2 linked regions of the Drosophila melanogaster genome follow. The protein of the gene in region 1 interacts with the protein of each later gene in a pairwise test. Each region holds a gene or a part of one and is shown on either strand. Other genes may lie near its edges.

What was found. The genes of interacting proteins can lie anywhere in the genome.
Region 2: the proteins of TwdlE (region 1) and Acsx1R interact in a two-hybrid assay, tested with the Drosophila melanogaster proteins (one large-scale study listed by BioGRID).

What each region holds. Positions count from the first base shown.
Region 1 is NT_033779.5:7,855,823-7,865,214, forward strand, and holds TwdlE (TweedleE), read right to left. Parts: upstream 5,018-9,392; 5' UTR 4,879-5,017; coding exon 4,861-4,878; intron 4,780-4,860; coding exon 4,559-4,779; intron 4,299-4,558; exon of another isoform or gene 3,103-4,298; coding exon 2,748-3,102; 3' UTR 2,135-2,747; downstream 1-2,134.
Region 2 is NT_033777.3:19,774,959-19,778,908, forward strand, and holds Acsx1R (Acyl-CoA synthetase X1 R), read right to left. Parts: upstream 2,323-3,950; 5' UTR 2,273-2,322; coding exon 2,129-2,272; intron 2,074-2,128; coding exon 1,562-2,073; intron 1,500-1,561; coding exon 515-1,499; 3' UTR 501-514; downstream 1-500. Other genes in the region: Acsx2 (Acyl-CoA synthetase X2), read left to right, coding at 3,808-3,950.

The DNA of each region.
Region 1 (9,392 bases):
TTATAAATACTTAAAAGTTGGTTATCCCCAAAAATTGAGTTAAAAGTGCAGGCGTTAGCATTCAAAGATTGAAATCCATAGCTTTTACCGCCTCTGGGATGCAACAGTACAAATACAATATACCTTTTTTCTGCGTGAGTACCTGGAATAAAAGGAATATGGACATGGTGATAGTTGAGCTGCTGGAGCGTCACTTAAGTGCCGCTTGGAGTTTCTGCTGATGGAGGGGGCTTTTTCAGGGGGCAGAGTGGGCGTGAGGTGATGATGGGGCTTTTCGTGGATGGGGATGGGTGAGTGGTGGGCAGAGGGGCCAAATGCAAACGATGTGTTTTTAAGTTCGCTTACATTTGGCAGGCTCGTGAAGGAGCTGTTGAGTGTGTGTTCGGGTTTAAAAGCATGTGTGCACCGGAATGGATGGGGCTTGCACGGATTTACCTCTACTTTTTTTCCATTTTTTTTCACCAAGTGGACAACGGTAACGGGTCAATTAAAGTGGACCCGGCTGATTGTTATTAAGGTGGCTGCGGGAAAAGGGCTGTAATCCAATCCGTTTTAAGGTGTTTCGCTACTAATTATCTTAATACTTAAGGGAAATTCCGTGAAAATCGTTTTTCCGCATCGAGCAAATCAAATTGTATGCAATCCAAGCGCCAAAGAAAATAAAACGCAAGCAAATAAACGAAACAAAGCTCAAGTTCGGTGAATGGAGATAAAAAGTTTGAGAAGCACTTGCGTACAGTTTGGAGGCTAGCTGCGGCGCCATCTGGCGGGCGAACATAACGTGGCAACGCCAACGGCGTTGTAGTTTGAATCTTGAGTTCATTAACATGCAATGAAAATAAGAAATCGTTAAACTATATTTAACATAAAAGTTCCTGCTTATCTGTACTACTGTTTAATATATTTTCATGATATGCTTTTATATATAATTTCAATCCAAGTATTGTCATAATTATCACTATAGCTTATATTATTTTTTATTTTTAGCGTAAGCTGAAAATACTTAGCATGATATTTATTTTTCCAGTAAAATATATATTATATCTATAAATTCTTATCAACAATATTGCGCTGCTGTTCATATTGCGCTGTTGTCATAATTATCACTATAGCTTATATTATTTTTTATTTTTAGCGTAAGCTGAAAATACTTAGCATGATATTTATTTTTCCAGTAAAATATATATTATATCTATAAATTCTTATCAACAATATTGCGCTGCTGTTCAGACTGCAGCATAGGAATTCACATTTAGTGCATTATAAACGTTCGTCTAAAGAGGTTCAATTTGCTAAGCATGTTCCAGCTGAAAGTTCTCCTATATTACGCAATTATCGCAATAGTTATAAATGCATCACCTTCAGGATGCGAGGAGACAGATCGTGTCGAAGCCTCGAAGCGCTGATGCCATTGATCGGTCACATTGCCCAGCACCAGGAACAGTGGAAAACCTGCAAGTTGCAAGAAATACAGGCCCAACAGAGGGATATTGAAAAAGAAATTGAAAGCCAGAAGACATCGCTAACGGAATCGTGGAAGAAGATCATTGCAGAGGATATCGAGAACAGAACCAATAGGTCAGAACTTAAGATGGAGGGTCAACTATCTGACCTACAGGAAGCATTGACTAGTATAACGACGTCGCTGAAGAATATGTCTGCGAAAATAAATATTTTACATAGGTTCAAGCGAATCGGATCGAGATATTTGCACATCGAAGACATAGTCCAACAAAATTGGACCAGTGCTTTGAGCGCATGTCAAAAGATGGGAGGTAATCTAGCCTCAATTATAAATGAAGCAGACTTTAATGCTATCGTTTCGCAACTAAGCAAAGACAACACTTATATGATTGGCATTAGTGATCTGGCTGAAAAGGGCGTTTTCATATCTGTGTCCTCCGGAAAGAGAGCACCTTTTTTGAAATGGAATCCTGGAGAGCCACTATACGAACATGTAGATCAGCGTTGCGTTTCTATACATAACGGTGGCATGTGGGTTGCTTCTTGTACTTCTGATTTCAAATACATTTGCGAGGCAAATGAAAATGTATAGTAAACAGATATATATAAATATATGTACACATATGTTAAGACTTGCAATGTGAAACATACAAAAAGAAATCCATCTTGTACAGATAATTCGTTAAACTTTTATTTAGCCATTGATGTTTTGTGTTTTTAACATTATATACTTGAGTATCATTTTAATCTTCATTTTTTTTTGTTGCATTTCGAGTGCTTCGCACATTCTATTTAATGACAAATCGTGTGCGAAATGTGCAATATGAAATTGGAATAAATTGCCTACTTGAAAATGCGTTTGTGATGAAAATCATGTACCACGTATATATCGTTAATCGGTATCAGGATCGATATCTCTATCGATAACTAAGGCTAGCTCGCAGTGAGTGTTTCGAGTGTTTTGTGTGAGTGTATAACGCATCGTTCGCTTAAAGACCTAGACTTAAGACTAAACAAACAATTTGAAACAAACAGCCTAGATGGAAAACATACTTCTCGTACATCAGGTAGAAACAACATCAGAGATAAGAATTACTCATCTATAGGAGTAATAATCCTATGAGCTGGGTGTGGAGAGGGGATGGGGGAGATTCGTTGCTTGGTAAACTTTGTCACGCGTTAAGGTCCTTGAAACAGAAAATAATACAATACACATAAGATATGCAGTTTGCCATGAGTTGGGTTGAGATAAGCAAATCGGTATTCGGGTTGGACTGGATCGCCTAGTGGGATGGTGCCCCATACGAGCTGCTGGGAGCAGAGGGTGCGGGCGGGGCAGCTGGAGCTCCGTACTCGGGCGCTGGAGGCGCCACACTGTTGGGATAGGGTCCGGTCTCCTCCTTCTGGGTCTTGTAGCGGATGAAGTACACCTCCGGCTTGCTGGGTTGGGTGGGAGCTGGCGTTGGGATAATGATCTCCGGCTGCTCCTCCGGCTTCTTGACTAGCACGTACACCAGGGTCTTCTCTTCGTTCTGTGGGAACTGCGGTATTACAGGGGCGGTCGGTACTGGTGGAGATGGCGCCTTGATGAAGACGATCTTGTAGTGCTTCTGCGGAGGTGGCACGTAAAGGGGTTTCCTGGGAAAATATTTAAAAATGTATTTAAATAAAGGTTCTGCTATATCTGTATTTAAGGAATTTCTTAGGAATTCTATGGGTAAAGTAAGACACCACATCCTCATATAACGCAACTTTTTTTGCTTCCGGCTTGTAAAAATTTACATACTGAATAAAAAAATTTCAATTACACACGGCCAGGCTGGAATGACTTTCCACACTTCCTATAACCTTGCCTTGTTGAACGAACAAATACCGCGATGCGGGAGAAAGGAGTTTCTCTTTGAGGTGCATGCAAATGGCATGCCCATAAATGGTGACCTCCCGAAAATGGTGACCTCCCGACAACGTTGAACCCACTGCAGCTGCTTGTCAGTTTTACTAATCAGATGAAGATGATGACTATTGTGACGATGACAGCGATTGTCACAACAACCGCCTCGAGACGAGGGTTTACATAAAGCTACCTATGGTAATCGAGTTCCTGTCCCTCTGCGCCTGATAATTTGCTTGGAAATGGTACTGAGATATATACGAGTACAAGTGCTGCGGCGAGCTTAGGTAACGTTTTAGTCACGGTTTGGCGGTCTGCAAAGCCATATCATTCCCCTCTCGTGGTAATTAACATCGCTTCCAACTCCAATTGAAAACAGACAGAAGACGACAGAAAACATTGTATCAGCGAAAAGAGAGGAAAGTTGGATGGCTTTCGTTTTCGCGGGTATTAAATAATGTTCCTCCTCCGTTTAAGCGACCCTCTAAATACCCTGGAAATGTGGCAACAGCTGTGGAAAAGGGCCCTGAGCTGGATTAGATGATTGCCGGCTGGTCTCTTGCAACATTTGTCTAGTTATTATCTTTGGGAGTTGACGGCACTGCCTGGTTTACGCCGATGAATTGTGAGAGAATCTGCATAAGTGCCTTGGATTATATACTCATAACACAACAATGTGTTTTTTCCCCATATTTTTCCAATCTTAAGTGGAACAAGACAAATAAAGCGAGATCGTTTGTAACCGCTCACAATCACGCAAGTCGAAAAAAAAGTGTGCTGGATAAGGGGTGTGAATAATTTGAACTGATTACGTTGTGAAATGAAAAAAACCGCAGGATGTACGTTTATATTGTACGGCTTATCAGAAGAAATTCTCGATTGTTCACTCACTCACTGTGTTGGGAGTGTAGTGCGATTTCTATTTTGTGAAACTATGCAAAATAAATAATTTTACTATTACTTAAACTCTTAAATACGTATCTTTTGTGATTAAACTGAATGTGTCTAAAATAACATTTTTAAAGATTTTTTCCATTTTTAGGTCTGATATAATTATCATCTAGTATAGACAAAAATTTTAAACGAGTATGCATAGATCCTTTTCCGGAACTTGGTTGAAGAATAGGTTTATTGGGAACCCTATTCTACTCGCGATCTTTGGAACTTATGTTGGCTTAGAGGATCCTTGATCCTGCCACTCACCTGGGTGCCTGGTATTCCGGCTCTGGTGGAGGTACATGGACGTAGACGTGCTTGTGAATCACCGGCGCCTGCTGGGGAGGTCCGTACTGGGGCGCAGGGGCGCCGTAGCCTCCGCTGGGTCCACTTGGCTGGTAGCTGCTGGAGGGGGGCGCACTGTACGAGTCACGAGGCGGCTCTGGACGAGCGGCCACCAGGGCAGCCAGGGCCATGAGGACCACTAACTGCGAACGAGATCGGAGGAGAACACACCATTAAGCGATGTCCATCACGGCCACTTGGTCGGTTTGGTCACAAGATCATACCACACAACTGGAATGCATTTTCGGGTGGCTTATTTCGGGTATATCCGTTTCGGGTTTTGTCACTGCTCCAGGTGGCTAGGTGCTACTGGCTGTTACTGGTTACTGGTTACTGGCAATGTGGTGCTGCTTCGACGCGGAACCTCTTACTGCATGCCACAACGATTGTTGCAGTTTCTTTTATAGCAGCGCAGCGCGTGAAATAAAAATTAAGTAAAATTCAAGACGACGATCAAGACCGCTGCTGCTTTAGCCGCCTCAGCTGCCTCAGCTGCTGCCGCAGTCGACCGAGCAGTCGGCCAAGTTGGCTGAGCAGTTGGCAAAGAGCGGCAGCAGCATGTAGCCATGAAGAAATTGAAATGTTTAAGCCAAGTCCAAAGTTTGGCCAGTCATGATCTGGTGGGGAAACTGAGGCTGCAGCTCCTGGCTGCGATGCAAACGGCGACCGCAAAGCCAACCGAAACTGCAACGTCTGCTGACCGTTTCTTGGCTTTGGCTTTCCTCCTTCGATTAACTACTTCTTTTTCGTGGTTTTTCGAGCATGTGGTTGGTTGTTTTTTTTTTTCTGTTTTTCTGCCCAACTAGGATTATTTTCATGGGGAAAATAAGGAACCTGAAAGGTGCAGTGTATGTATGTAAAATAAAGCTTGAGGCAGCAAGGCCATCAAATAGTTTTTTATGGTTTTTATTTCTGAAGACACTTAGCTGCTGGAATGTAGCTTATTTCAAGGGTCCATTATTTTCAAGGCAAGAAAATAAAAGCCTTTTTTGCGGTAACCTCAGCTTTAACGATTTCCTGCTTAATTTAAGAATATCTGAGAATATCTGTTCTCTTATTATTAATTTATCACGCCTTTTGTTCTTTTATCATTAAAAGAAAATGCCTCTCTTAGCTTAGATAGTTTAATTATTAAAGGCAAGTCATATTTTGTAATATTTAATTTATAAATATGTCTTGTGCATTTTTTTCCCTCGCCCATTTAAAACATTTGTATAGATTCGCTGTAGAGTACAACTCCTTCGAACTGATTGCCAAAGAAACATGGTTTTTCCTAAAATCTCTGATTTCTGTTATTTATATATAAATATATATATATATGTGCTTTATTATATATATGTAGCTAATGTGTGTAAATTGTTATTTTGGTCATTTAGAGGATCCAATCGCAGTGGACTCGTAACCAAGTCTGGACTCTGGATCGGATCGTGTGGCACGATTCACTTTCAATTTCAATGAATGTGGATTCACTCTCATTTAGCCAGCCGTTTTGGGGAATGGGTTGGTATAGTATGGTATGGTATGGTTTGGGATCAGATGGGATGGGGCTAAGCTTTGTTTTGTGCTCTGGAGTGGGACTGAATCTGGTGTTGGTTTTATTTCATTTCTTCATGCTCTTTCGGCCTTTTGTTAGCCAGCTTCTTTCGGTGTTTTGGGTTGTGTTGTGTGTTGGCTTGAGTTGACTTGGCCTGGCTTGTTGTTATTATTATTGTTACTGTTATTGTTATTGTTTTACTGGCTATGTTGCTTTTGTAATTGCTGTCCGCGTTTTGGACACGAAGCTTCATAATGAGCTTCACGCTCTTGTTGGGTCGACCCATCTGTACAGGCATTTTATTTAATTTTTCTCCTCTGGTTTTTTTGTTTTTGCAATATTTTGAATTTCTTCAATTTGTTTTTTTTTTTATCTCTGGCAAGTTTTAGTGTTGTTTTTGGGTTGCTTTTCTTATTTAATAATTTACGCCCCGGCCATGACAATTAGCGTTAGAGAAGAGTGATGGATAAAATTATGATTGGCAAAATGTTTTGCAACTTTTCCATGGCTCATAGCCCCCAAAGTAATAGCTAGCTTTTTTCCTGATTTATGCACATAATCTATAAATGGCAATCAGCATTTTTGCATCGGTTGCAAGCGATCCTTGGCCGCATTTTGGGGCCACTCCTGCACAATCGCTGCCGGAATTTTGCTTTATGAAATGGCATAATCAGTGACGACCAGTGGCGCCAAACGGAGGACGACACCGTAAACCGTAGACCCAGGCACCGAGTAAGATACCCAGCAGCAGTATTGCAACTGCAACTTGCAACAGTTGGAGAGACTCAACTGGAGGAGAGTCACAGAGACAGAGACTGTCACTTTTCCTCTATGGCATCATTTATAATGCCGTTAGCCAAATGGCAGGTTGTGTTGATTTTGTTGTTCATCTGCAGCAGCGGCTGCACTTGCTCCCCTGTCCACGGATTGCATTTCCTTAATTTTCCACGCTCATCTTTCACATTCAAACCCATCGTCATCATCATCATTCGTTGGTCGCGGTAAAATATGCTGAATTCACAAAGATGGAACAGGTGCAGGTTCATCAGTGGTTACGCCGCGTCCTAGGGCAATTTTTGGAGTTTTTCCGGTGCAAATATTTCCGCAATTTATGCCTCGAGGCACCCTTGACCCATTATTTTTGCCAGAAGATAATATAGATATTTTTTAGAGAAATGTAAAAGTATATAGCTGAAATACAGCTTGAGAAATGCGAACATTGCATTTATACCATTAATTGTGCTTAAAACTAATGCATCAACTTTATTGGTATTTTGTAACGTAACCAAGGATCGTAAAAGATTAACTTCATAATGAACTGAAATTAAAGAAAATAAATAATTACAAAGCTATCTTAATGGTGAACACGAAAGTATGGCCAATCCGAATAATTAAATAGGAACATAAAAATGTTTCTTATGACGCTGTGAGACTAACGAAAAATTGGGATCTCAAATATTAAATATAAATTTTAGATTTCACATAAGTGACTTGTTCCAGTGTTTGTTCAATAAATATTTAATGACTACTGGTGGAATAAACATGATACACGTGTAAAAAAGTCTCTGTGATTTTTATAAAAATAATATATATTTGAGATTGCACTTTAATGTAAGATATATATCCTGCAGATACATTGCCCACTTTGAAGTACATGGATATGTACTGTTGAAATCATACTTGGTGATATTATTATTATTGTTGAACGCTGTATGAGCTACAGGCTGGGCACTGGCTGATATTACTTACGTCATTTTCCAACTGCAAATTCGCAGTTACATTATGCATTCTGGGAAAACCTCCCATAGGGCGGATACATTCTGCTAGCCGGGCCATTATGCGAATTATGCATGGCACATTGCCAGATCTTAATGAATTCGCCATGCCACAGCGATTCTGAGCCATATAATCAGCGTCGCATTCAGCCATTCATCTTTCTGCTTTCTCCGTGGCCTCAACCGAGTAACACAGTTCCCCCAAATCTACCCCCCCCCCCCCCCACAAACAAACATATGTAGGTATAACATTTAAGAGTCAGCTACCAACTGGCTGCCATCTACACCTCGGCGTGCACAGATACTAATTATTATATTGTATCTCTTGTGACTTTATGTAACAGGCAAAGAAACAAAAAAACAAAGGCAGACGGAACCATTTAAATGATATTATATTAACATAAAAAAACAAAAAACAAGCGGAAAAACAATTATAATTTCGTTTACAAAACGAGAAACGGCACTTGGCGGGTAAAAAGTACTTAACGGCTTCGAACTGACATTGGGAATGGGTTCGGAATGGCGTATGGCGGATTGTATTTAATTGTATTGGATTGGGGTTTTTGGGTTCGGGAGATGCGATGTGTCTTTCTGGTGGGTGCCACTTTGCGCCGTTTAATTTGTCGAGAGTTGCACTTGAAGCACGTGAAAGTAAATTGAGATAGATGGGAATCTTTCGGATGGTGGCGCCCTCAAGCAGTTGGATGTGAAATGCACGAGTATCTGAGCAGCCCATAAGATGAGATGAGATGAATTCGAATCCGAATCTGAATCTAAATCTGAGACTGTTGTAAGGTTGCGTTACACTCTGCATGCGTTACGCAACAGGCTTCACTGTATCGGTGGCCAGAGATCTAGTTGAGAAAGGGATGTTGCATTGAAAATGATTTCTTTTATTGTTGCTTCTGCGGCGAGTCATAAGTAATAAAGATAACGTAAGTTAACAACAATTAAATGTACATTTATATATGGATACGAATTAAGTAGTGTGTATAAGTACATATATATGTATCTCCCTCGAAACGTTGCTGGCCATAAAGTCTCAACCGAAATCGCATTAAACTTGGGCCCATCTTCCAGCGGAGGCCATCTAGTGGAGGTTAGTTGGGAGTAGTATAATTTATAAATACACAATACGTTTTACAATATATCTTCATATGCCTGGCCAGCCTTGGGGCCCATTAAAACTCCAGTTATTATTGTTCGTGGGGCGGTTGTGGAAGTTTTCGGGGTAAAATATTTACAATTTTATCGCACTTTTAATTTTTTTTTATTTCTTGTTTGACCGCGCAAAAAGAAGTTGAAAATCCGCACTTAGTCTACACCATTAAGGGTTTTTTTTCAGAGTTTTTCTTTTTCAGAGGGACGGGGTTGCTCTACAACACATAGGTACATACATATAGGTACATTTTACACTTCGGGCTTACCCAAAGGATTTTAAAAATTA
Region 2 (3,950 bases), on another chromosome or scaffold:
AATCTAATACGAAATTAACTAATTATACCGAGGGATACGTTGCGATATCGCTGTATGCTACCGGCTATGTGCCGCATGCTACATTTATGGTTATGTCTCGGAACAGTGCAGATAAGTTAAGAACGGTATCCGGCAAGGCTCCATGGCACTTCCACTAAACAAATAAAGAATAATGTTTGATGAATGACGAAATTCTAGTTAAATGTAAGTTAAATTGATCAAGAGTGACTGCATAGTAGATAATGTTATGAATAATTATACTAAACTATACACAAACTGACACACACCGCAACACTTTGACTTGATTTGTTTAGGGGATGCTCGAAATTGTTACATAGTAGCACAATTTTACAATATAGTAGAAATTATTGTTGCCACCCGAAAGGAAGGAAATCCTAGAATGCAAACCAGGATAAAAACGAAGTAATGACGTTTGTGAAATTTTATAAATAAATGATGCAAAACGAAATGAAAGAATACACAAAAATGGCAGTGTCTTTAACTTTTAATAGTGTTATGTATTAATTTGACTAAGTAATATATTTTTCCTATTTTTTAAATGCAAAAAGTGGGCCTTGTTGGCCATTCGATTGGTCTTTCCATTGGCACTACGCTGTAGGTCATCCACAATGACGGCTCCTCCGTTCAACTGCTTGTACTTGGAATCAGTCCGAGACCTCACATAGTCCACCACATCCTGGGCCTCCAGCTCACTGCCCAGTTTCTTAACAACAGCAGCAGCAGCTTCGTCTCCAAAGATGTTGCTCCATATCCCGAAGACACAGACCTCGGCGACCTGGGGCATCTCTGAGATGACGCTTTCAATATCGTTTGGATAGTACATGATGTTCTGGTACTTCAGCATCTCCTTCTTTCGGTCCATAATGTACAAGAAGCCATCTCGATCCATGTATCCGAGGTCCCCGGAGTGATACCATCCCAGTGAATCTCGCATGTTACGAGTCTCAACTTCGTTTCCGTAGTATCCCGACCAGTGCTGGTTATTCATGATGCACACCTCTCCGATCTCATCGGGTCCAAGCGATTCGCCGTCATCATTTTTTATCTTCATCTTTAGCCCATTGACCAATTGACCCACCGATCCGGTTTTCTCGTCGAAGTGACAGTTGATGGTGGCCATGGCACCCAGTTCTGTAAATCCATAAACAAACTGCAGGCAATTATGGCTAAGACGGCTACGGATGCCTTTCTGAACCTCCAAGGCAGCCCGAGATCCTCCAAACATGTAGCACCGTAGGCTCGACAGATCGCACGTCTCGAAATCTGGGCAGTTAATCATTAGAGCCATAGATGATGGTGGCTGTATGGTCCACGTAACCTTGTACTCTTCGATGATTCGCAAGGCAAAGGCGGGATCGAAGGCATTGTCCGCAATGATGCGGGTAGTGCTGAACACTCCGGAGGTAATGGTGGTAAGCAAACCAGTGATCCAGTCAAGGGTGTTGTGAGAGTACTGAACATCAGCGGTGGTCAGATGACTAGTGGTACAAAAGGAAGCAAACTTTAAAATCATTCCAAATAATATGTATAAACAACTTACTAGTTGCCTGCGAGGATGTGCCGACTGTTAGTTATAGTTACTGCCTTTGGAGTACCAGTTGTTCCCGAAGAGCAGAGAATGGCCAAAGTCTGATCGTTGCCCTTTTCCAGCTTAGCTGGCTGGAAGTTTTCTTCGATGGGCGTGGCCACAACTTCATCGATCTTTATGGAATCCAACGGATGATTGCGCATGGTGACAATCTTAACATCCAGTTCTGCAGTGGCAGATCGAACCTTCTCAAACTCATCTCCATCGCAGAAAATAATAGAAGGCCTTGTGACCTTGTAGATCTTTTCGATCGTATCGCGATCGTATGTAATGTTGAGTGAGTGAAAAGCTATTCCGTTGAAGAAACAGGCGTAGGCTACGGCAAGCATGTGGGTGGTATTCCGGCCTATGAGGCCCACTATATCGGATTGAAGGAGTCCCAATGATCGCATATAGCTGGCCAAGCGCATGGCGTTGGCAAGGAGCTCCCCTCTGGTCAACACAGTACCCTCCGTAGCAGAGATCTAGAAGAAATCATGATGAATCATTTGTTTAGTGGGTGACTTTTAATGTACTCACCTGGGCAGTAAGCTGCGGATGCCGCCGCATCTCGTGGAAAATTATCTCTCCGATGGACAAGTCCGGATCGAAGTATTTGACAACCGGCTCACCGCTCCAGATCTTTTGATCATTATCGTAGGAATTTTCTGGTGTGTACGGCATTCTGTAAGTAGGCAAACTTTGTGTGTCTGGTAAAGACAGATTTCAACTGTATCAGATTCGCAACTACAATCCCTTTTAATAGTCGCAGCCATCCAATAGCTTATCACACTTAGATAAAAAGTTCGTGTGGCAGAGGAAATAGAAATACAAATACCATATAAATGTTATAAAATTCAAGATACCGTCTTTGGTTCGGACAGGTCAAAAAGATTTTGCCGCGATCTCGTGGGAACTGTTTAGTGTGTTATCTTCATAGCCAGTAGTACAATATGTTTTCTCGTATCCCCGTATCTTATACGTCATTATTTTATCAACTTATTTATTAACATATCATGTAAGTTATTTGGTTATAAAGTCGTGGCAAATCATTTTACGATATTTACACACACGTCTCTAGTATCCATCTACGTGATTGCCTTGCCTCGTATAAGCCATGAGACATGTTCTTTTGCTGGTAACTTCTTTGCCAGATGCTTATCATCAAATCCCATGCTATGATATATCAGCCTAACTTTATGTCCTTGGTCCCATGAAGTTTATGGCAAATCATTCTGCGTTAGCGAACTTCGTTCCGATCTGCTTTTATCTGACTGAGAATCATTTTTATCTTGAATTACGCGGTGACTGCGAGCTGCGTTGAATTGCATCTTCGGGATGAGCGTATTATTACTGGGTTGCTCTTGTTAAAGCTTTTTTTTTTAAATTGTGATATGACATTTTTTACCACTTTCTTTATGAATTTGGGGTTACGGTATCAGCTTTGTTGAAAGTTTACCTTTGGTAAACCCTAAAGGCATAAAAATGATGGCAAACTTTTTATAGTAAACCGAAGGGATGTACAGCACATTAAAAATTTAATTTATACACATTTTCCCCTTTTGGCATATTTGATTTAAAAAGAAAATTGTTTTGAAGATCTATGTTACGAAAGCCAATGAGATGTCATAAAAATGTCGAATGTATAACATGTCATGTAGATACATATAAACGCATATAACATGGCATGTAGATACATTTAGAAGTAGATAGATAACATGTAATGTTTAACATGTTATGTTAACATTTATACATAGTTCTGAAAACATGCAAGTAGGTGGCGCATCACCAAATTCCCGCCAATATATTTTAACATACTCTAAAAATAAAAAAGGTATTTGATTAAAATGAATAAGCATTTTTAATTTCTTTCAAAATTAGTAAGCTAAAACTAAAAAACTATTTGTTTTGCAGCGCATGTATACGCCAGAGTTTTAAACAGAAACGAATCTTAGCACTTAGAATTTTTTGATCTTAAAAGACCTTTTACTTAATAGCAAATAACTGCTGTCGAGACCTAGGTTTGATAATCATCTGATTCGCCAAACGGTTTTCATCGCTGATATCGTGTCAAGAGAACAGCTTGGCAATCAATAGGTAAAATTAAATATCCGGACACTTTAACTGCTAAATTGCCGGCTAATTTTTCCAATTTCGTTGACCTTTAAATAGACCCGGCAGGCGAGTATGCAGCAGTCATAAAACGCGCGTGCATCACGATGTTGGACCTCAATGGCAATCCCGCGACCAGCTATGATCCCGTTCAGAAGGTCTGGAGTGGCTGCAGCCGGCACAGTCTCTACAACGAGGAGCTGACCGTGGGCCAGATAATCTTCCGGCAGCTGCAGCGGCAACCCCAAAG